Caenorhabditis elegans: one gene and its partners. The protein of the gene in region 2 purifies or fractionates together with the protein of the main gene of each other region. This does not show direct contact. Each region holds a gene or a part of one and is shown on either strand. Other genes may lie near its edges. The genes, in order: T03F7.7, fbxa-140 and Y52B11A.10.

Evidence for each region.
Region 1: the proteins of fbxa-140 (region 2) and T03F7.7 fractionate together in Caenorhabditis elegans (co-fractionation; one large-scale study listed by BioGRID). This does not show direct contact.
Region 3: the proteins of fbxa-140 (region 2) and Y52B11A.10 fractionate together in Caenorhabditis elegans (co-fractionation; one large-scale study listed by BioGRID). This does not show direct contact.

Annotation. Positions count from the first base shown.
Region 1 is NC_003283.11:11,307,980-11,315,613, forward strand, and holds T03F7.7 (CRAL-TRIO domain-containing protein), read left to right. Parts: upstream 1-3,442; 5' UTR 3,443-3,542; coding exon 3,543-3,610; intron 3,611-3,879; coding exon 3,880-4,078; intron 4,079-4,127; coding exon 4,128-4,448; intron 4,449-4,503; coding exon 4,504-4,850; intron 4,851-5,080; coding exon 5,081-5,210; intron 5,211-5,259; coding exon 5,260-5,379; 3' UTR 5,380-5,466; downstream 5,467-7,634. Other genes in the region: snf-11 (Transporter), read right to left, coding at 326-461; cutl-18 (CUTiclin-Like), read right to left, coding at 5,478-5,744, 5,906-6,059, 6,382-6,612, 6,656-7,055, 7,105-7,200, 7,244-7,377, 7,422-7,634.
Region 2 is NC_003279.8:12,958,761-12,965,237, reverse strand, and holds fbxa-140 (F-box domain-containing protein), read left to right. Parts: upstream 1-3,618; 5' UTR 3,619-3,689; intron 3,690-3,745; 5' UTR 3,746-3,776; coding exon 3,777-3,829; intron 3,830-3,883; coding exon 3,884-4,556; intron 4,557-4,605; coding exon 4,606-4,866; 3' UTR 4,867-4,925; downstream 4,926-6,477. Other genes in the region: tba-2 (Tubulin alpha-2 chain), read left to right, coding at 1-238, 292-424; C47B2.2 (Phosphoribosyltransferase domain-containing protein), read left to right, coding at 668-834, 1,422-1,663, 2,190-2,271, 2,583-2,787; fbxa-101 (DUF38 domain-containing protein), read left to right, coding at 5,319-5,377, 5,433-5,516, 5,574-6,255, 6,303-6,477.
Region 3 is NC_003279.8:11,036,074-11,044,048, forward strand, and holds the start of Y52B11A.10 (MI domain-containing protein), read left to right. Parts: upstream 1-2,982; 5' UTR 2,983-2,988; coding exon 2,989-3,096; intron 3,097-3,137; coding exon 3,138-3,320; intron 3,321-3,363; coding exon 3,364-3,489; intron 3,490-4,535; coding exon 4,536-4,692; intron 4,693-5,389; coding exon 5,390-5,571; intron 5,572-7,123; coding exon 7,124-7,460; intron 7,461-7,975. Other genes in the region: dxbp-1 (DNA/RNA-binding protein Kin17 WH-like domain-containing protein), read right to left, coding at 572-1,168, 2,297-2,525, 2,670-2,746.

The DNA of each region.
Region 1 (7,634 bases), on a different chromosome or scaffold from region 2:
CCCGAGTGACAAATTGCGTGGCGGAAAGCCCATCCAATGACTGACAATTTGTCCGATTGCTTCCCATCCGATCGTTTCTCTTCTTCCAAAAGATTGTCTCCCCAAATTTTCACACCCTCCCCGCACAAGCTGTTTCGACCTTCCTATTAATCTTATAGACAACACACAAAATGAGTATTGAAAAGATGATTGACGAGGGTATAGGAAAACGAAAAGAAAGAAAGAACTAATCTTTGAGCAGCCTGCGGATCAAGTTTCGGGGGAATTTCTCTCTGGTACCCCAGTTATTATTGATATTTTGACAAACTGACACACGGCAACCCACCTCCTCCGTTCTGGTAACAAAGATATGGAAAACGCCAGACGTTACCAAGACCGATTGCGTAACCGATGCAACTCATAATAAAGTCGGCCCACGAGGACCATTGTTCTCTTTCAGCCACTGATGTGGCTTCTACCATAATTACCTGCAATTATTTTCAATTAAAAATATATAAATAATTTTAATATCGGAGATATCTGCATATAACGATGCGAAATTGAAAAAAAAACATGCGAAATTAAAAATTGAAAAATCGATATTGAGAAAAAATAACACAGACATGTACTTGTTGAATTATATTTATTTATAGCAAAACTATCATAAAACCACTGAGAAATAAAGAATTTAAAAAAATTAGTCTGCATGCATCAAAGTACGAAATTTTCAAACCCTGGAGATTCCCTAATACTTCGAGAAAACCAAATTCTAATCAATAAAATGAATTTCAAATGAGATTAGGTATCCCTCTGTTATACATTTCAATGATAGAAAGTGCATTTTAATTGCAAGAGCATGCAGACGAATGTCCTGCAGAAATCTTAACCAGAAACTACCACTAGCACAGTGTCCCTTATTCATTTACAGAATCAGCTCACTAGAAAAAAAACGAGAGGACCAATAGGCTTTTTGACAGGCAGGGGTGGTGAGAAGAAGAGTAGTTTGCGGCTTCGTTGACATAAACAAAGACAAGAATCACACACTCGGAAAAATTGAAGAAAGAAGAACCAATGGGCGGGGTGGATGAGGTTGTAGTGGCACATGAAAGTGCTTTGGGCTTCGCCACGACTGATGTAGATGATGATGATGATGATGAGGAAGATAGAACCCTCAAGATAGGAAGAGAAAGTGACAAGAGGGGGAGCAGAGGGCGGCGCGGGAGCACACAGCTGCTATTTTCCCCTGCAGGAGATTTCTGGATACAAAAAAGAGATTAAGAGTGAAATAGCAAGAGTTTGTTTAGAACCCGGTTCCCTATCACGTGGGTCGTGACCCAGCTTTTATGTGGGTTGTTCTGATAAAAATACTGAGTCATGGAAGAAACATTCCTGAAAATCCTAAATTTTGCCAAATTCCGGATACTTAATGGGTTATGATGCACGCTGCATACTTATTCGGGAAAAGCATAAATGTAGAGAAAAAGAGACATAAAAGACTTAAAGTGGACTATTTTGAAGTATCTCAATGGGACTTCTTTTGTAGAATTATTTGGAGACGAGTCGAACTCAAAGAATGTCCTAGATGAAAACGTTTGAAGATAAAACCAAAAAGATGAAAAGTGACTGATTGTGAAAGACAGATAATTACTAGGCCATTTAGAGAAATTTGCAAATCTGGAACAACTAGATTAAGAAAAAATTTTGTAGCTTGCCATAGATTTCATTCGGAGCATTAATTATGAGCTGAAATACTATCCTAGTGAGCGAATTTGTCCTAAATCAGTAATAAATTGAAATAGAACTGAAAAATATATTAAATCTATTTTAAATTGTAATGGATTCCAACAAAAATTACAGATCCTGAGACTTAACACTTAGTAACAAAACAATTAAAAATTTTCTTTTTTATTTCTCACTCCAAGTCATCAAAACTAAACATTTGGAGTCTTCTTCTTCCTCTTCTTCCAATATGCGGAATTCTTCTTCATTTTTGCTCAATTTTTATTCAAAAACGCCAGCATAAGTATGTGCTCATCCTTGAATAAATGAGGCAATTGAAGAAAGAAAAAAGAAAAAAAGTGAGTGGCGAATTCTGTTGGTGGTGGCACTGGGTGAAAGTGGTGAAAACCCCTTGAAGAGATGGAAAAGGGAGACGAAAATACGCCAATTTTTCATAAATGCTTATATTTTTGTGGTTGAGCAAGGGTGCGGACAAGAGAATACCCTGTGGAGCTTTGAATGAGATGTTTGGAAATGGTTTCAGATTTGTTCATACACGACATCACAATGAAGAAGAAAATATTGGGCTATAGAAGGACAAATTCTCTTGAGTAATGGATATCTTTAAATGAGATGGATGTGTGGTAATTTCCGGTACATTTTTTCAGATACAAACGATATAATTTGGACAGGGATGTTGTTAAAGACGTAGAGATATTATTGTAACAACTAGTACATGGAGATAATAAAATATCACGCAGAAAAAAATTACCAAAGCATGAAACGTCTACTTTAATCATCAACTAAAAATTTCCAGCAGCCGTATAACTGAATAAATGTTTTTTGATAAGCTACCTGAAAATACCGAACGGTTCATCCAATCTTATCCACTCTTATCTTCAAATGTATATTATGTGGATTAAATAATCCCGCGATTCATAAATACGAATTTATAATTGTTTTAAAAATGATTTTCCTCCTATTTTTTAATATTCCCCACTTGTGTAATACTTCAAATTCATTTTCCAAATTTTTGTACGTTCATCATTCTCTATTCCTTTACCCTTTTTCCACCTGATTCTTTTTTTCAATTAAACCTATCCCTTCCTCATCACAAGGTATTCAACAATCTGAAAAACAATCTGAAATTGTCTCCACCCATTGAATACAATTGTACGCTCATTCTCTTCAACTATTTCTTACAACAATTCATTCTTTACAAGCCGGGGCTTCAACTTTTATGTGTATGTGTGACTACCGTATTAAACGACACCTCTCTATTTCCCTTTGTTGACCATCTTGCTGCCATCTCTATTCCTGTTTACTTCTCTCTTACTAACCACCGACTATAGGAGACCGCGCACTACTAGTATAATCTAAAATTGTTCCTTTTTCGGTCTCACTTTTTTTCAACCTTTCTCTCTAGGTTCCATTCAACCTTGAGGTTTGGCATCTTCGCTTTTTTTCCAAAATTTTCTAAAATCACAAAACACGAAATTATTTTCTCTCGACCATCCTTCGCCGAATGTCTTGTATTTAACACGTCATATCACTACTGATCAAGTCCTCATTTTTTTCCATTGTGTTCGCCCCTTCTAGTGATAAAATGATAACATAACTATTATATGTATAATCACATAATCAATTGGTGATGACTGCTGATAACAGTTAAAACAGCACGACTTTCTTTTCCTGCATATTAATCTGAAAACCTGTCTCCATCAATCACTTTTTTTCATTTTTTAGGAGACCGCCTCCCACAGCCAGATTTATTTTTTAGACTGTCCCTTGCTATATACACGTTTTTTGTCGAAGAAATCACTCGTGAAACAACAAATTCAAAAATGATTGACGATATGATCACAGCGAAGAAATTCAGTGCAGACATTTTGGAAAAGGCTGAAAAATTAAAGTGAGTTTTTTTTTAATTTTTAGTTGACAATTTTCCGTTCCAGTGAATTTGACATTTAATTTGGGCAACGGCTACTAGTTTTTGACATTTTCAAATTGTTGACTTGCATTCCGATAAATCTATTGAGGATTTGAGAGTAATAAAAAGCAAAAAAAAAATTTCGGTTTTGGACGCCAATTTCCAACAACAACACCTGAAAACATTTAACCTGAAAACATTTTACAGCACATTTTTGTGAAAAACCATTTTTGAGAAAGTAATTTTTGCAGAGTTTCAATCCCATCCGTACCTGATAAAATCGATTCTCCATTCTTCTTTGCCAGATTTTTGAATGCAAATAATGGAGATGTGGAAAAGACACGCCAGAAAATTATACAGTTATTCGAACATCGTAAACTAATGGGATATGAAAAAATCAACGATCTCGATATTTTTACAACCGTAAATATTGGAAAGGATTGTTTTGAGGTGAGACTTCCCAACACTGGATAGAATTACACCTTTTGTTGTTTTTCAGAGATTCCATATTTCTCAACTTAACTATGAAGTCACATCAAAAAATCTTCATGTGTTTGTACAAAAAATGGAAGGAACTGATATCAAAGAAATTTTAAAAGTGATGCCATTGAGCTATGTTCTTCACTCATACTTTATGCTCCAAGAAAATTTTTCAAGAGCAATGGCACACACTGAAAGAAAGACAGGAAAAACATCTTCAGTCGTCTGTATTCTGGATTTGAAAGGATTAAATCTAATGGATTTCATGAATCCGTTGTCAGGACCTGCACAGTTGGCACGGCTCGTGGTGCAAGTTTGGGCAGAATATTTCAGCGAACACGTGAGTGTATAATTTCAGTTTTTACTTGAACAAAACGAGAAATTCAATATTTTAGTTGTGCAAGCTTCTTCTTATCAATCCACCTGGAATTATATCCGTCATGTGGCAAGTCACTAAACGACTCGTGGACCCTAATACAGTAGAAAAGTTAGCTTTCTTGAGCAACGTGGAAGATTTGAAAAAATATTTGGAGCCGGAGGCAATTCCAGTCGAATATGGAGGAACATATCGTGATGATACTGGATATGCAGATCCACCAGAAGGAGCATGTAAACAACCAAAGAGAATTACCAAAGAAGATTATAAACCACAAGAGTATATTTGGGTTAAAAACGGGATTCTCAAGGCACCGAAAGGAAAGAGTTACTCGATAAAAGCATTCCAGACATCAGAGTATATCATGTAAGTTATAAATTTAGAGGAAATCGAATTTTATTTGATGTTACTTACAATTAAATTTTTTTATGTTAGAGTATTTATTTATTAAAATGTTTTCATTTCATATAATTTTCATGAGAGAAAATTTCCAAAAATTGCCGATTCGCACAGAATCGTGAAAATTTTGTGCAAAAACTACAAAACCATTCACACCTTCTGAAACAATTCCGAGAAAATAATGTCCTTTTTCACAGAAAAACTACGACGGAAGGTAAACTGGTTTGGAATTACACAACCAGTGGAGACGTTGACTTCGAGATTGTTAAACGAGACGCTGGTAAAGAGATGGCTATCTGGCCGAAGATCACAGTTACAAGTCTTAAGGTTTGTTTCTTCCCTGTTTTGTTGAATTTGCACTAAAATGTATTTTCAGTTACCAGAGTTTGGCGAGAAACTTGTTGCACCGGGAGAGTATATTCTAAGGTTCAAAAATCCATCAAGTACGTGGTTCCCAGTGAAAGTCAATTGTGCTGCTGAAATTTTAAATGTGTAAATATGACAATTCATGTATTATTATCTTTATTATGAGAATGTTCTTACCGAACATAAAGACATTAAACAAATAAAAAATCAAAAAACCAAACACCCATATCAGATATTCTTTGTATCGAGGAAACGATTTCTGAGACAAATATAGATCACGAGTAGGAATTGAATTGAAATTATAATTACAGTTAAGGAAATTAGTGCAATCCAACGGTTCAATTGAAGGCAATAACCATCTAATTGGGTTGAGTCTACAATTGTTTGAACGAGAAGCTCGGCATGGACTTTTTCAGTATCTTCATTTCCAGTTAACGTTGTGTCCTCACTCTCATCAAAAGTTGTAAATCGGCGGTTACGTGATGGACAATTTGCCTGAAAATAGTATGAATAAACTCAGATTTTAGGAACAATGCCGTAGAGAGTTGATTAGAACTTTTGAACAAAAAACTAACAATATTGATAGTTGCGTTGTCCAACAAATTGTTGAAGATTATATTACCAAAATAATTTTTAATATTAACAAAAAATCTCACCTTTTTACACTTTTCACAGTACTTCACCTCACATTCAATCTTGACAGCCTCTCCCTGTTTAAACCGAAACGCTCGGAACGGTAATACGAATCCTGTAGCGGTCTCCTTAATCTCATCTCGTAAAACGTATTCCTTCGCATGTTGGGTAGCACATCTGACCATAAAGATTAATCCGAGGCATTTTGTTAGAATCCCATAAAACCAAGATAGAAAACCATCTGTCACATTTTTTCCCTTTACCGTGCAATCTCTTTCCTTCTCTCACATTCACCGCACTCTTGTCTGCCACCCTCTATGCAATTTCGGTGGTTTCACTTGTGGCCAAGTGGCAATCGTGTTGCCTCGGGACACGACACACCCGAGTTCAATTCCCGCCTGTGATGCTTTTCATGCGTGTCAGCTGAGATCCCCTGATTAGAACCACCCTTGAGGTTGTATTAACTGAGGCTATTTTTCGGTTTTTATACATAACTCACCCATTTTTAATCAAAATTATTTTCTCATCGCCATTTTGATCGTAAGCCGTGCATTTCTTCACAAAAACGTGACGAGCTGACGTTGAATTATCGACTGTGAAAACAAGATCAAGACTTTGACCGAGCTTCACTGTTCGAGCTTTAATAATTTCTCGTTTTCCGCGTAGTTCCATACTCATTGGTTTCACATTCACTTTTCCATAGATATCGAGTTTATTGAATTGTGTTGTTCTGAATTAAACATTTATTTCGCTGTTTTCAATATAATGTTTACCTTAAATTCATTGTTTTTGCCACTGCCACCGCATTTTTCTGATTCGAGTAATCACATCTCACTTTGAAAAGTTGATCATCGATCGTTATCACTGTTGCATTTCCCACACTTTCCACGTTCTGTGTTACAACAACTACAGTCTCGTAAATATCTCCGTTTTTAGTGATACAAGTTGTATCATTATGACGGATCTTTAGAATCGCTTCTCCATCCGTTCCAATTGTTTTTGAACAATTTGAGTGACCATTTCGAACGTAAATTTCTCCACCAACAAGATTGTGATTATCCGGGTTTCCAGGGGAAACTTTTACTGAAATAAATCCAAAAGTACATTGAGTACTAATTTTCACATCAAGTGGGCTCGATCCAAGTTTTGAGGATTTTTTGACGTACAGCTTTCCTGGATAAAAAATAAATTGAGTTATGTAAAAATTAGAAGAAATACTAACTTTCTTCAACTTTCTTCTGGTCCTTCTTGTTTCCTGTTGAGAATGTTTTTGCTTTATGAGGCTTTTTAACTTTAGAATCTCCTGGTGCAATTGTAGCTAAAACTGTATGTTTTGGTACGAATTCTAGAAAATAACTTACTGGGTTTCAGTTCTTGTTCAAAAGTGATAACGTTCAAAGTGAATACCGAGCAATTTGTGTTTTCATTGTCTGTTTCAACTGCACCATCATGTAAATAACAATCCCGTGATTTAGTGTAACTGATTGATTCGCAGCTGAAATTTTCAAAGCTTAAAAAATATTTGTTTTTATTTCTTACCTTCTTGTTGGATGTGTGGCACACAACTGCATACATTGATGAAGTTCCAAATCTTTTGATATCAACTGTCCATTTTCATTCTTACATCCACCGAGTTCATCAAACAAAATAGCAGATCCATCACTCAAATCATTAACATCTGCACATATCTTTTGTGCTAACATTGGCAATGCCATTCGTCTTCTTGAAATCAAACAATTATTCATATCTTTG
Region 2 (6,477 bases):
TTAACACCGCCATCGCTGCAATCAAGACCAAGAGAACCATCCAATTCGTCGATTGGTGCCCAACCGGATTCAAGGTCGGAATCAACTACCAGCCACCAACTGTTGTGCCAGGAGGTGATCTTGCCAAGGTGCCACGCGCCGTCTGCATGCTCTCCAACACTACCGCCATCGCTGAGGCCTGGTCTCGTCTCGACTACAAGTTCGACTTGATGTACGCCAAGCGTGCCTTCGTCCACTGGTATGTTGCCCGTTAAACTATACTTTTCAAATATTCAATGTGTTTCTTTTCAGGTACGTCGGAGAAGGTATGGAGGAAGGAGAGTTCACCGAGGCTCGTGAGGACTTGGCTGCTCTCGAGAAGGACTACGAAGAGGTCGGAGCTGACTCCAACGAGGGAGGAGAAGAGGAGGGAGAGGAGTACTAGATGCTCCCACAATCAACTGCCTGGCGATTGACTTTTAATTTATTACTGCAGTTCGATCGTCATAAACAATGTATTATGAAGTATTTTATTTATATAATGTTTTTTGTTAAAAAGAGAAAGAATGAAAGTCGGAACACTTTACGTTTATACCGAGTTGAGTGCCGCAGAGCAAACATGTACAAGCCGACAGTATTTGAGCAGCAGACGCTTGTTCTGCTCATCGATCAGTATTAGATTACAGAAATGGCTGGGCATGTGAATGGAACATGTGCTCCAGTGATTCCAAAGGTTGGTGATGAGGAAGACGGTGTCGGGCAGTTGGTGGCAAATCTGAAAGAGAAGGGAACAAATTTTGTTCTTTTGAAGAAGACTCCACAGATACTTGAATTGCAGACAATTTTGAAAGATAGGTATGAAGTTTGACTGGGAATAGACTGAAGCCTCAAACATTTTATGGGTGAAAATTTAAAGAAAGGGGCTGAAAACTCATATTTCCAAGCTCTTTTTCCAGATTTTGCGGAAAAATTAACGATTTTCGGTATTTTTGCCGGAAAAACTTGTTGATTTTAAATAAACTCCTTTTTTGCCTTAAAAAGCGATTTTCTTGGAATTTAGATTTTAAAAATCCGTTAATTCACAAATTTTCGGGTCAGAAACGGCATTTTAAGCGATTTTGCCAGTAAATTAGGAGAAAAATAGAAAACGTTTTCATTTTTTGGCCTTTTTGCCGTGAAATTAACTGAAATTTTGATTAAAAAACGTTTTTTTTTGTTAGAAAACATGAATATATTTATTTATATAAATGAATTTTTCAAGGATTTTCTCGGATTTTGAGTCAAAATTCCGATATTTTCATAAATTTCCGGGTCCGAAACGGTATTTTTCGTGATTTCCTCGCAATTTTAGAAGTTTTCCTTGTAAAAATTGGTTGAGGCTCAGAGAATCTTGTAGTTTGTAGTTTGTAGCCCCATAGCCTCAACCATCTTCCAATTTCCAGATCAACAAATCACTCGGATTTCGTATTCAACGCGGATCGTCTGATGCGGCTTGTAATTGAAGAATGTCTCAATCATCTTCCATTCACTGAGCACACAGTTACCACACCAACAGGCTTCAAATATGAAGGAATTCAATTTAATCGTGGAAATTGTGGAGTATCGTTGTGTAGAAGTGGAGAGGCGATGGAAGTTTCATTGAGACAGTGTTGTCGGTGTATTCGAATTGGAAAAATTCTGATTGGTACGGGAAATTGAGGATATCGAGAGGAATTTGGGAAATTTCCTAGAAAAGGCGAAGAAAATTGAGAAATATAGAAGAAAATGGCGAAAAATCACCAAAATCATTGCGATTTTCATCAATTTCTCCCTGAAATTACCTGGAATCTCTTATAAATGCAGATTTCTGCTTGAAAAATGGAAAAATCTGGTGAATATCCAGTTTTTATAGATTTTCTCCTGAATACCCCTCAAAATCTGTGAAAAGTCTGACTTTTCCTTCAAAAATACCTCTAATTCGTAGAGAAACTCGTTTTTTCAGCCGAAAAATGTTTTTTTTTTTAAATCTGTAATAAATATGTACTGTTCTTATGGTAAAATTCCTGAAAAATATATTAAAAATATATATAATAGTAAAATTTGCGTTTTTACCCAGAAAAGTGGTAGAAATCGTGAGTTTTACTGAGTTTGTCGAAAACTGGCGATACTTTTTTAAAAGAAAAACCTCAAAACTCGCAAAATTTCCAATTTTCATCCACTTTTTGTTACAGGCGACGAACAAAAAGTGCTCTACGCCAGGCTTCTTCCGGATATCACGTCGCGTCGAGTTCTACTGCTCTACCCAACGATAGGGTACGCTCAGAGACTACAAACTACAAAAAATATCTGGCCGAAATAAATTTGATTGAAAAATCTGAGAAAAAAAACACAAAATTTAATGTCAAAAAATCGATTTTCCCGGCGAAAAATCGTAAAATTCAATAATTTGTTTGACGTAGAAACTTTAAAAATGTCGATCACTAAAACTTCCCCAGAAGGCGAAAAATTGTCTAAAAAATTGAGTTTTTTTTTGTGCAAAAAAAATCTTTTTTTGAAATTTTTTTAACTGAAGAAACATTTAAATTTAAAAAATCACATTTTTATCAAAATTTCCAATTTTTCAGATCTGGGACGACAGTTTGCAAGGCAATTGAAGTCCTAAAAGAGGCACGTGTCCCAGATGAGAATATCTACTTGGTTTCCCTATTCATCTCACCGACTGGACTCAAGAATATAACCAGAAAGTACCCGTATATCACTGTCGTCGCCTCCGATATCACATCTCTCTATCCAAATCATTTCTCAACCAGCTATTTTGGTGCTGTCTAGACTAGTTTTGTGTAGTTTGTAGCCTTTTGACACTACAAACTACATCGTTTCCGTTTCAAATGCAGTATTTTTATTCACTTTTCTCACTTGATCATCTCTTCATTTCTCGTTATTGGTTTGTAGTTTGTAGTTATTGTAGTCTTCTTTTTTACTTTTTCACTGTTGATTTCCCCTATTTTTTTTTGACAAAATGTTCATTGAATTTCCGCATAACTAAATTCTTTTGTGTTGTTTTCGGTTCATTAAACATTATTTTAAGATGCAATGACTACGGTAGTCATTTTCTGAGTACATGGTGTGCGTACAGGGCGCTATATTTTACGCGCAAAGTTGAGAGTGAGATTTTTCCTCATTTTTTGGATTTTCACTGCAAATTTAAGAAATTTTACGAAAATAAACGTTTTATTTCAAATTCTATTTGCTACTTTGCATGCAAATTGTTTTTTTTTCATTATATTCTGAAAATAAAATAAGTTAAAATTAGCCGTTTCAAAAAAAGTTTCCGAAACTACGGTAGTTCTCGGAGTACGCAACTTGCGTACCGGGCATCTCATTTGACGCACAGAATTCCTAGTTTATTGTTTTTGGATTTTCAAAATTTCAAACATAGTTTTTGCATTTTTCCTGTCGTTTTTGTGATTTTTATTTGTGAAAATTTATTAGACAGAAAAGAAATTTTCAGTTTTCACGAAATTTACTGGAAAATTTGTTATTTTACCGTTAGGTAACGTATTTTACAAAGATATTTCACTTTATCCGTATTTTCTTATTGTTTTCTTCACTTCAAACGATTGAAAACTGAATCAATCAAATAAATTTCCTATTTTTCAGGTAATTTGTCAAAATGACTGGCTCATCTCGTGGAATTGTCGAAATGACAAAGAAACTGGATCGATTAAATTGTTAGTGTTAAAATGAAATTTGCATCGGATTCAGTTTAAAATTTGCTTATTTTCAGATCGAAGAAAAGACCACTTACGCTTTTAAGCATGCCAGTTGATGTTATGGAGAAAGTTATGAAGAAAGTGGATCCATACGATTGGTATCAAATTTTGAATGTTAGGCAAATGTTAAAAAAAAACCAAATGAGTTTCAGGATTTCCGTCCGCAATTCCAATCGAAATCTTCGAGATTTCGTCGACAGCCAGCACCTCAAATTGGACATTGATGTTTCTATTGAGGGCACTTTTCACACCATTGATATCAATGGAAATCAATCCTTCGGACCTTTCCATCCGGTCGTGGCTGATGATGAAAGAAGAACCATCTACAATAAAAGACTACAGTTTGCTCTCAGAAAATTGTTCGTGGTTATGAAGCTTCCAAGTGCCCAAATTGAAGAGTTCAAACTGGATTTTGACTTTATGGGAAGAGGAAGTGACGAATTTGAAGATATCTACGATATTGGTTCCAGAAGAGTTAGTTTTAAAAATAAACTGTTGAGTGCAAGCCTGAGAACAATCGATAAGGAGTTTGGAGAGTTTCACTGTTTCCAAGCGAAATCAGTTTCTCTGAGTGGACTAAAGGAACCTCGAACTGTGCTCATTCTCAAATCTTTCAAGTCTGGAACTCTCGAGAACATTGAAATCATTAATTCCTACAAGTTCTACTTCAGTTGGCAGCTGACGCTTTCGGAGCAGTGGAAGAATGCGAAAAAACTGAAAACTGGACTTTCCACTGATCGCTACACCGGAATTCGAGTTGCTGAACTGTTCGCATTTTCAAATATCGAATTCACAACTGTAGTATTGTCATCTGATTTGAAAGTGGTATAGAAATTCTTAATTATTGATTAATTAATTTTAGATTTTTTTTCAGTTGGTTGATTCGTCTGCAAAGCTGGAAACTTGTCTCAGCAGGAACACGTATGACAGCGAGGATGACAGCGATGAAGATAGTGATGAAGACAGCGATGATGAGGACAATAGTGGAGTGTTAACGGTGTCAAAAGAAGTGCTCAAAGTGTTCGATCCGAACTTTGTTGGCTATAACGGAACAATCAATTACAAAGCAAATGGATTCGAATATCTCATTGAAGTCACTGAATTCGAAACTAAAATTGTGAAGAAAATCGAATAATCTTCTCATTTTTCAAAATTTGCTTTTGTTTTACTAGTCACATGAATTCTTATTTTGTTACTTTTTTTGTTTTGAAACTGATTAAACCAATAATTTGGGTTACGGCTGAATGTTACCTTCCGTTTAATATTTTGTAATCTTCCCAGTTTTTCTATATTTTAAAAGGAATTCTCGAATAGTTAACAAAGATCCTTTTCCAAACTACGGTAACTCTCAGAGTACGCAGTATGCGTACCGGGCATCTCATTTGACGCACAAAAATTCTAAATTTTTTTTTGAATTTTCAAATGTGGTTTATGCGTTTTTCTAACCAATTTTTTGTGATTTTTCCCCTGAAAATGATTTAAAATAAGTAAAATAACCTGTTTTTGTAAAAATTAATTTCGTTTTTACACATTGAACGTGATTTTCTATATTTACTCAAATTAATTTTTTTCAGGTAATTCGTCGACATGACTAGCCAAAGAGCAGAAATTGGTGAAACGACGGACAAGCAGAATTCCATGAAATTGTTAGTTATTTAGGCTACAATAATTTCAAATAACTTTTTTAAAACACATTTTCAGATCGAAGACAAGCTCGCCGACGCTTTTTGACTTGCCTCTGAATATTATGAAGAAAATTGTGAAGAAACTGCATCCATACGATTGGTAAGATCAAATAAATAAAAATTATATTTTTAGAAAGTATAATAAAAATATTTTCAGGATTTCCGTTCGCAATTCCAATGGAAATCTTCGAAGCTTCATCGACACCTTGAAACTGGATTTGGACATTGATATTTTTATTGAGGGCCATAGGTACACCATTGTTCTCAATGGAAAATCATTTCGTTATCGGTATAGATTTGTGCCTTATGATGAAATAAGCAACGCTCGCAATGAACCTTTCCATCCGGTCGTGGCTGATGATGAAAGAAGAACCATCTACAATAAAGGACTACAGTTTGCTCTCAGAAAATTGTTCAATGTCATGAAGCTTCCAAAAGCTCAGATTGAGAAGTTCAGTCTAGATTTCGACTCAATTGGAGGATATGAAGACTATGTCCACAATGAACGGTTGAGGTCAAGCCTGAGAACAATCGATATGGAGTTTGGAGATGCTCACTGTTTCCGAGCGAAATCAGTTTCTCTGAGTGGATTCAAGAAACCACGAGCTGCGCTAATTCTCAGTTCTTTCGATGCTGGAACACTTGTGAAATTTGAGATTATGCGTTGCATCTTCAACGATATTCGTCCACTAACTTGCTTGGAACAGTTTAAAAATGCAAAACAATTGCGAACTGATCTTAACATTTGCTCCGTCTTTGGATTTACTGTGTCGGATCTTCTTGGATTTTCAAGTATTGAATTCACCAGTCCAGAGGTATCGCCAAATGATCTGAAAGAGGTATAGCAATAATCAATTTTTAGTTGATTTAATTAAAATTCTTTCAGTTGGTAAATTCGTCTACAAAGCTGGAAACTTGTGTCGTCAGCAAGCAATTAGATGATAGTGAATCAATTGCAGAAGAAATGCTCCAAGAGTTTGATCCTACCTTCGCTGGCAAAACCGGAACCATCAATTACAAGGCAAATGGATTTGAATATGTCATTGAAGTCACTGAAGAGC
Region 3 (7,975 bases), 1.9 Mb from region 2:
TAGGCGTAAACTATGCAAATTGTCGTACAAAACTACTTTTTCTCATATTTTGGAACTTTTCTAGCAATCTAGGATATATTTTGAACAAGAAAGATCGTCTTCAAAAGTTAATTTTCACTAAAAATTCGATTGTTTCGTTTTTTCATTCTATTTAGGGTACAAAAGGTGGGCGGCAAAATATTTTTTCCGCCAAACCGGCAAATTGCCGGAATTGAAAATTTCCGACAAGATGTGGTTTTGCCCTTTTTTTTTTTTGGAAATGTCAGAATTTCAATTTCAAATGGCCAAATGAAACACATCCTATGAATACAATTCCTACATTTATTTCGATAAGTAAGCGAATTCTGTGAAAATAACTAGAAAAAACGGGAAAAACTTTAAAATGACACAATTTTAAGTGTTTCCGTCTTGTCAAAAATCCCTCAAGGCATTTCCGGCAAACCTGATAACCGGCAAATCGGCAATTTGTCGACAAATCAATTTGCCGAACGGCAATTGCCGCCCACCCCTGCTTTAAATTCAATTTTTTTGGGGTTTTCATTCTAATTTAATTAATTTCTGTGCTAATCACCTTAACAACAATCCCCTCTCTCATCCAATAATCCTTCCGATTCTTCCGCTCCTTTTTCCTCTCCTCCATCTCCTTAATCTCATCTAGCGCTGACTTTTTCGAGAATTTTTTGGCGGCCGGGCTCCGGCTCCGGGATCTCTTTTTACCACTTTTGCGTGATGGTTGTGATGGTCCCGGCTCATCCGGATCCTCTTTTTTGACTTTTGGCATATCGAAAATCGAGATTTTCGCCGACGCCACACCACTTTTAACGTCCAATTTCCGATCTAGAATCCCCAAATTTAAATCCAGCTGAATTTTCTGATCCGGAGTATCCCTGATGAGCTCTGTGGCTTCATATTCGTGCTCATCATCCCCGGCGAGCTCTTTTCCTCGTTGGACCATCCCGTCCATAATCTGCATATGACGCTCTTCGTCATCCTTCTCCTGTTGCTGTTTTCGTTGATCTTCTTCTTTTCGGATTAAGGCTTCTTGATCGATATATGCAATATACCATCCTTTATCACCTTCGTCGATTTTACATTTTCCAGATGATCCGAGATACTGGACGAAGCCTGTCAACGAGTGCCATACTGTAGAGTTCATGTGCACGTGACCCTGAAATTTGGTGATTGGTGGCTCCGAACGTAAGTCAGCGCCCTAGCAGAACCGATCAGCAGTCCTATAAGCTCAAAAATGCGGGTTCAGCTTGATTTTAAAGGTTTAAAACCTTGAAAATCAAGTTGAACTCGGGATTTTGAACTTATGGAACAAGCTTCATGGTGCTGCTAGGGCGAGGTGCAATTTTGAGGGAAAATTTAGAGAATTTGGAGCTTTTCGGCTCAAATTATTGGAATATGTTGTTGTAGTCCTTAGAAGGCTATAAACTGCAGATTGGGTTGAATTTTTCCGTTTTTCAGACAAAAATTTAACAAATTTCAAAATTTTAGGCTAATTTCAATTTTCAAAAACTACGAAATTGACCGCAAATTATTTAAAAATAAAAATTTCATGGATTTATGAAAATTTTAACAAAAATTAAATTTTTTAAAGGTTTTTTTTCGGAAAAACCTTTCCAAATGTTCCCAATTTGGTTGAGGCTCACAGACTACAAACTACAAAATTTTGCGGGAAACTGAATTTTTTCAAATATTTTACGTTAAAAATTCAATTCTGAACCTTAAAATCAAAATTGTTCCAATTTTTAGCGAAAAAAATAAATTTTCATTTTGGGTGAGGGTCAGAGACCCCTATGAGCTCCATTACAAACTACAAAATTTCTAGCCTCTACCAAAGTTTTTTGAGATAAATTTTACATTTTTCAGTTTAAAACTGGATTTTTTTGTTCAATTGTTCTGAATTTTGAATTCAAAAATGCAGTTTTACACTGAAAGTTTCGAAAAAATGGCAAAAATCCTTTTTAAATCTTGATTGAGGCTCACAGACTACAAACTACAACATTTTCAGCCTCACCAAACATTTCTCACTTGAAAACTGGATTTTTTTGTCCAATTTAACTGAATTTTCAATTCGAAAATGCAGTTTTACACTAAAAGTTGAGCAAAAAATACGAAATTTGGCCAAAAATCGTGAAAATCCTTTTAAAAATGGGCAAACTACAAACTACAACATTTTTCAGCCTCAACCAAATTCAAAAACTTGTTTTTAATGGTTTTTTGCCGATTTTAATGCATTTTTCGGCGTTTTTCCGGCAATTTCTTCAAGTTTTCTTGAAATTTCTCTTACCTTATCTTTAATAAACGCATTATACACCTCATTGGCACGAACTCGCTTCGTTCCGTACGAAGTTCGCAGCAACTGCATGAAATTCTTCTCAAAATCATTGGAAAACTGTCGGAGATAGGAATTCGAGTTCTCGGCAAAGAGCAAAAGTTGCCGTTGATGTGCTTCGGAAGTTAAGTGGCATTTGAAGCCGTTCGCGTCTCGACACTGCTTTTGGCACATTTGGCAGAAGCTGGAAATAATAATAATCATTTTTATTAATTTTTAACTGTTTAATTGAATATTTCGTTAATTTTAACTCAATTTAACCAGCAAAAACCGACAAAAATCGCTTAAAATTAATTATTTTTAAATTTTTACTTAAAAAGTGCCATACAATTTCAATTTTTGTAATCCTTTCGATTTTGTTCGATTTGCCAAGTCTTTTGAACTTCCTTTTTCGTGTTTTCCCATTTTTAAATCTGAAAAAATTAGGAATTTTAGGTGAAAAAGCTTGAAAAAGCTTGCAAACCAAAAAACTAAAGAAATAAATTCGAAAAACACGCGCTGTGGATTTACGGTAAACAACGCGCACTAGCGGGATTTCGGAGTGTCGTTGCAAATATTTATTTTTTTTTTTTTTCGATTAATCTTTTTCAGCGAATTTCGATGAATTTTTAACGAAAAACTTTAATTTTTTACTATTTCAGGGTAAAATGAAGCTTCCACTATTCAAAAAAGATGGAATGTCGCGGAAGGAACAACGAAAATCCGCGAAACAGCTCAAGAAAATGCAGGCAAAGGCATTTTCCCAGAGAACTCCGGTATATTTTGCGATTTTTTGCTTCAAAAATTCAATTTTCAGATAGAACAAGTGATGAGAGAGACGATGGGAATGACGAAAGAGGATAAAAAGAAGAGAAAACGGAAAAGACAGCTGGAAGCGAAGAAAGAGCAGAGAAAATTGGAATATCTGCAGAATAAAAATCGAAATGACGGGGATTCCGATGACGAGGAGGATATGGAAGATTCTGAAGACGAAGAAGAGGTTTTAGCATGATTTTTGTATAGAAATAACTCGAAAATTCCAGAAAAAGCCCACAAATCGCAAGGGAATCGTCGAAGTGAGCGTGAATAAGGGAAAACGGAAGTATGGTGATGATTCTGAGGATAGTGATGAGGATTTGACCTATGAACAGTATATGGAAGAGGTTCAGGTAGGAGAAAATGCGAAAAAAACGGAGAAAAACTGAAAAAACGGCTATTTTTGGCAGATTTTATCGATTTTTCGTCTGAAAATCGTGGAAAATGTAGCTTAAAACATTTAAAATTGCCAAAAAATACGAAAAAATGACGAGAAATCAAAGAAATCCTATAAAAATCGACTAAATATTGGTTGAGGCTCAGACTACAAACTACAACAATTCCTGAGCCTCAACCAACGAGAAAATTTAATTTTTAATATTTTTTACCCGAATTTTCTCTAATTTTTTAAGGTTTTTAGACTTAAAATCAAAGTAAATGTCGTTTAGGAATGTTGAAATGACAAAAAAAATGCGAAAAATTGCAAAAATTCAAGAAAAAACACAAAAAAGCTGATGAAATTCTAGTTGAGGCGCAGAGACTACAAACTACAATATCGTCTGAGCCTCAACCAACGGGAAAAGTTAATTTTTAATAGTTTTTTCTCGAATTTACTCGAATTTTGAAAGTTTTTTTTTTAACTCAAAAGCAAAGTAAATGCCGTTTAGGCTTGTTAAAATGATAAAAGTTGCGAAAAAATAGCAAAAATTCCTGAAAAACACTAAAAACAGATGAAATTCTGGTTGAGGCTCAGACTACAAACTACAATAACTCCTGAGCCTCAACCAACGAGAAAATTTATTTTTTAACAGTTTTTTTTTTCTGAATTGTCTCTAATTTTTAAAGTTTTTTGGGTTAAAATCGGTGGAGAAGTAGTTTATGCACGTTAAAATGACAGAAATTTCGAATAAAATTGCAAAAAATCGAGAAATAACACTAAAAACCGACGAAATTCAGATTTAAGGCTCAGACTACAAACTACAATATCGTTTGGGCCTCAACCAACCGAAAAAAAACTGATTTTTTGGTTTTTTCCTCCAATTTTTTAGACTTTTTTTGCTAAAATATAAACATTTAAAATGTGAAAAATTCAATTTTTCCACAGATTTTTTACAAATTCCCACTAAAAATCCAATTTTTAATGCAAAAATTGTCGATTTTCATCTATTTTCACTTCCAGACAGCGACAAAAAAGCGGCGACAAGAAGCCGACGGAACTGAGGAAGATGACGCCGCAATTCGTAAATATGGAGTACTTTTAGGTGTAAATGAGCAGAAAAAGGAGCGAGATGGCAAGCTAAAAGTACCGAAATCCATGAAAAGTGATGGATTGGATTGTGAGTTTGTAGTTTGTAGTCTTTAAAAGCTAGGAATTTACCTGAAAACCTGGAATTTACATAAAAATTTCGAATTTTCACTCAGAAATTTGAATTTTTACTGAAAAATTCCAACAAAAAAAATGGTTGATGCTAAACAGTTTGTAGTTTGTAGTCTGTGAGCCTCAATCAAGATTTAAAAAGGATTTTGAAGGCTGAAGTCTGCTTTTTTTTGCAATTTTTAAACAAGTTTCGTATTTTAATGAAATTTTCAGCGAAAAACTGCAGTTTCGACTTCAAAAGTTTGGAAAAATGGTTAAAAACCTAATTTTTAACTGAGAAAATGTGGTTGAGGCTGAAAAATGTGTAGTTTGTAGTCTGTGAGCCTCAACCAGTTTTTGAAATTATTTTTTGATGTTTTTTCGCCGTTTTTGGGTCATTTTCGATAATTTTTCAATTAAAAATACAAGAAAGTTGGCCAAAATCTTCATTTTTATCTAAAATTAACAAAAAAAAACCTCAATTTTCATTCAAAAATTAGACAGAAAAATGTCAAAAAAAATTTAAGTGAGGCTAAATATTTATTATTTTTATTTTTAATTTTAATTTTTTTTTTTTTTTATAAAAAAAAAATACAAGAAAGTTGGCCAAAATCTTCATTTTTATATAAAATTTTAATAAAAACTTGAATTTTCACTCTAAAATTCAAAATTTTCAGTACTTCTCGACTTTTGCGATTCGGAACGGCGTAAGGAGCTAATGGAAGATGAACTTGACGATGATAATATGGAAGATGAAGAAGAATTTGAAGATGAAGAGGATGAAGCTGATGAATCTGGAAATGAGCTAGATCTTTCTGAAGGAGAAGAGCCTGTGGAATCGGAGGATGATGAGGATATGGTAAATATTACTGGAAATATCTTGAAATACTGAAAAAACTGAAAAAAAAATGATTAAAATACACGATTCTAGGCTGAAATTCGACATTTTTAACGTAAAAAATCGGAACTTTGTTTTGAAAAAAAACATTTTCGAAAATTTTGACCAATTTTCCAGTTTTTACTCAAAAAATACTCCAAAATTGCACAAAAACCGCGAAAAACCATTAAAAAATCATTTCAAAATTTGGTTGAGGCTCACAGACTACAAACTACAAAATTCCTAGCCTCAACCATATTTTTTGTGATAAAAAATGACTTTTTTCAGTGAAAAATTGGGTTTTATGTTCGATTTTTTATTGAATTTTCAAATCGAAATTGCAGTTTTTCGCTGAAAAATCCATTAAAAATACAAAATTTATTCAAAAATTGCAAAAAAAAAGCTGAAATCTGCCGCAAAAATTCTTTGAAAATTGGTTGAGGCTAACAGACTACAAACTACAAAAAGTTTAGCCTCAACCAAATGAAAAAAGATATTTTTCAGTTAAAAAATGCGGTTTTTGTTCAATTTTTCTGAATTTTCAAAGAAAAAATGCATTTTTGCCCGTTTTTCCAAAATTTTAATTAAAAACTCAAACGTTCTGCCTTTTTTTTCGCAAAAAAATGCTCGAAATTGGCTCAAAAGTCCTCCAAAAAATGATAGAGGCTCACAGACTACAAACTACAAAATGTTTAGTCTCAACCATATTTTTTGTGATAAAAAAAACTTTTTTCACTTAAAAATTGAGTTTTATGTTCGATTTTTTTGAATTTTCAACTCGAAAATGCAGTTTTTCGCTGAAAATTTCATTACAAACAGAAAATTTGGTCAAGAACTGCAAAAAAAGCTGACTTCTGCCTCAAAAATTCTTTAAAAATTGGTTGAGGCTCACAGACTGCAAACTACAAAATTTCTAGCCTCAACCAAATGAAAAAAGGTATTTTTCAGTTAAAAAATCGTATTTTTCTTCAATTTTCAAAATTTTTAAGTATAAAAATTCAGTTTTTCCCAAAAAGTTTAAAAATTTTAATTAAAAACTCAAACGTTCTGCCTTTTTTTTCGCAAAAAAATGCTCGAAATTGGCTCAAAAGTCCTCCAAAAAATGATAGAGGCTCACAGACTACAAACTACAAAATGTTTAGTCTCAACCATATTTTTTGTGATAAAAAAAACTTTTTTCACTTAAAAATTGAGTTTTATGTTCGATTTTTTTGAATTTTCAACTCGAAAATGCAGTTTTTCGCTGAAAATTTCATTACAAACAGAAAATTTGGTCAAGAACTGCAAAAAAAGCTGACTTCTGCCTCAAAAATTCTTTAAAAATTGGTTGAGGCTCACAGACTGCAAACTACAAAATTTCTAGCCTCAACCAATGGAAAATAAAAATATTTTCTGTTAATTTTTTTTTCAGAAATGCTCAAAATTGGCAAACAAAAAGTTGTTATTCTTTGATTTTTCCATTGAAAATTGCAGTTTTTCGCTTAAAATTTCATTAAAAAACGATAAAAATTTGTCAAAAATTTCAATTTTTCAGGTGGACGAAATGATGTCAGACGAGGAAGATAACGTGGATGATGAGAAAATCGTGGAAATTTCGGATTCGGAAATTGAAACCTCCGCACCTAAAAAATCCGAAGAAACTGAAGATATTTATGGTCGAAAAATCAATAAGTCCACCGGAGAACTCATCAAATTCGATCCGGCGGCGGCGCGGAAAAAGCTCGAGGAGCTCGATGCCACGTCATCAACCGGAGAGCAGAAGCAACGAGTTGAACGGGCGGTTAATAGTATTATTAATAAGCTTTCCGACGCAATGCTCATCAAATCTCAGCAGGGAATCGCTGAATTATGGGCGAATAGCTCGAAAAATGGTAATTTTTAGGCTGAAAATGTTGAAAAATTGCAGAAAAAGTAGGGAAAATCAATAAAATTTCCTGAAAAATGCCGCAAAAATTGAAGAAAAACCGTATTTTCTGGCTAATTTTCCTTAAAAAAAAATGCGAGAAAAACCACAAGAAATTGGTTGAGGCCCACGACTACAAACTACAAAATTTCTAGCCTTAACCATATTTTTTGGTGATAAAAATGTAATTTTTTTCATTGAAAATTTGTTTTTTAATCCATTTTTCCCAAATTTTCATGTCTAAAATATAGTTTTAGAAAATTCAAAAAAAAAACATTTTTTTTAACGTTAAAAACAACCAAATAATCGATTTTTTGTAGGTTAAGGGTCAGAAAAACATGTAGTTTGTAGTCTAAAATGATATTTTCAGCTAAAAATATGATTTTTTTTTTTGTTGCAATTTTTCGATTTTTCTATTCGAAAATTCAATTTTTCAATAAAAAAATTGAAAAAAAACACGAAAAATATCTTCAGCCTCAAAAA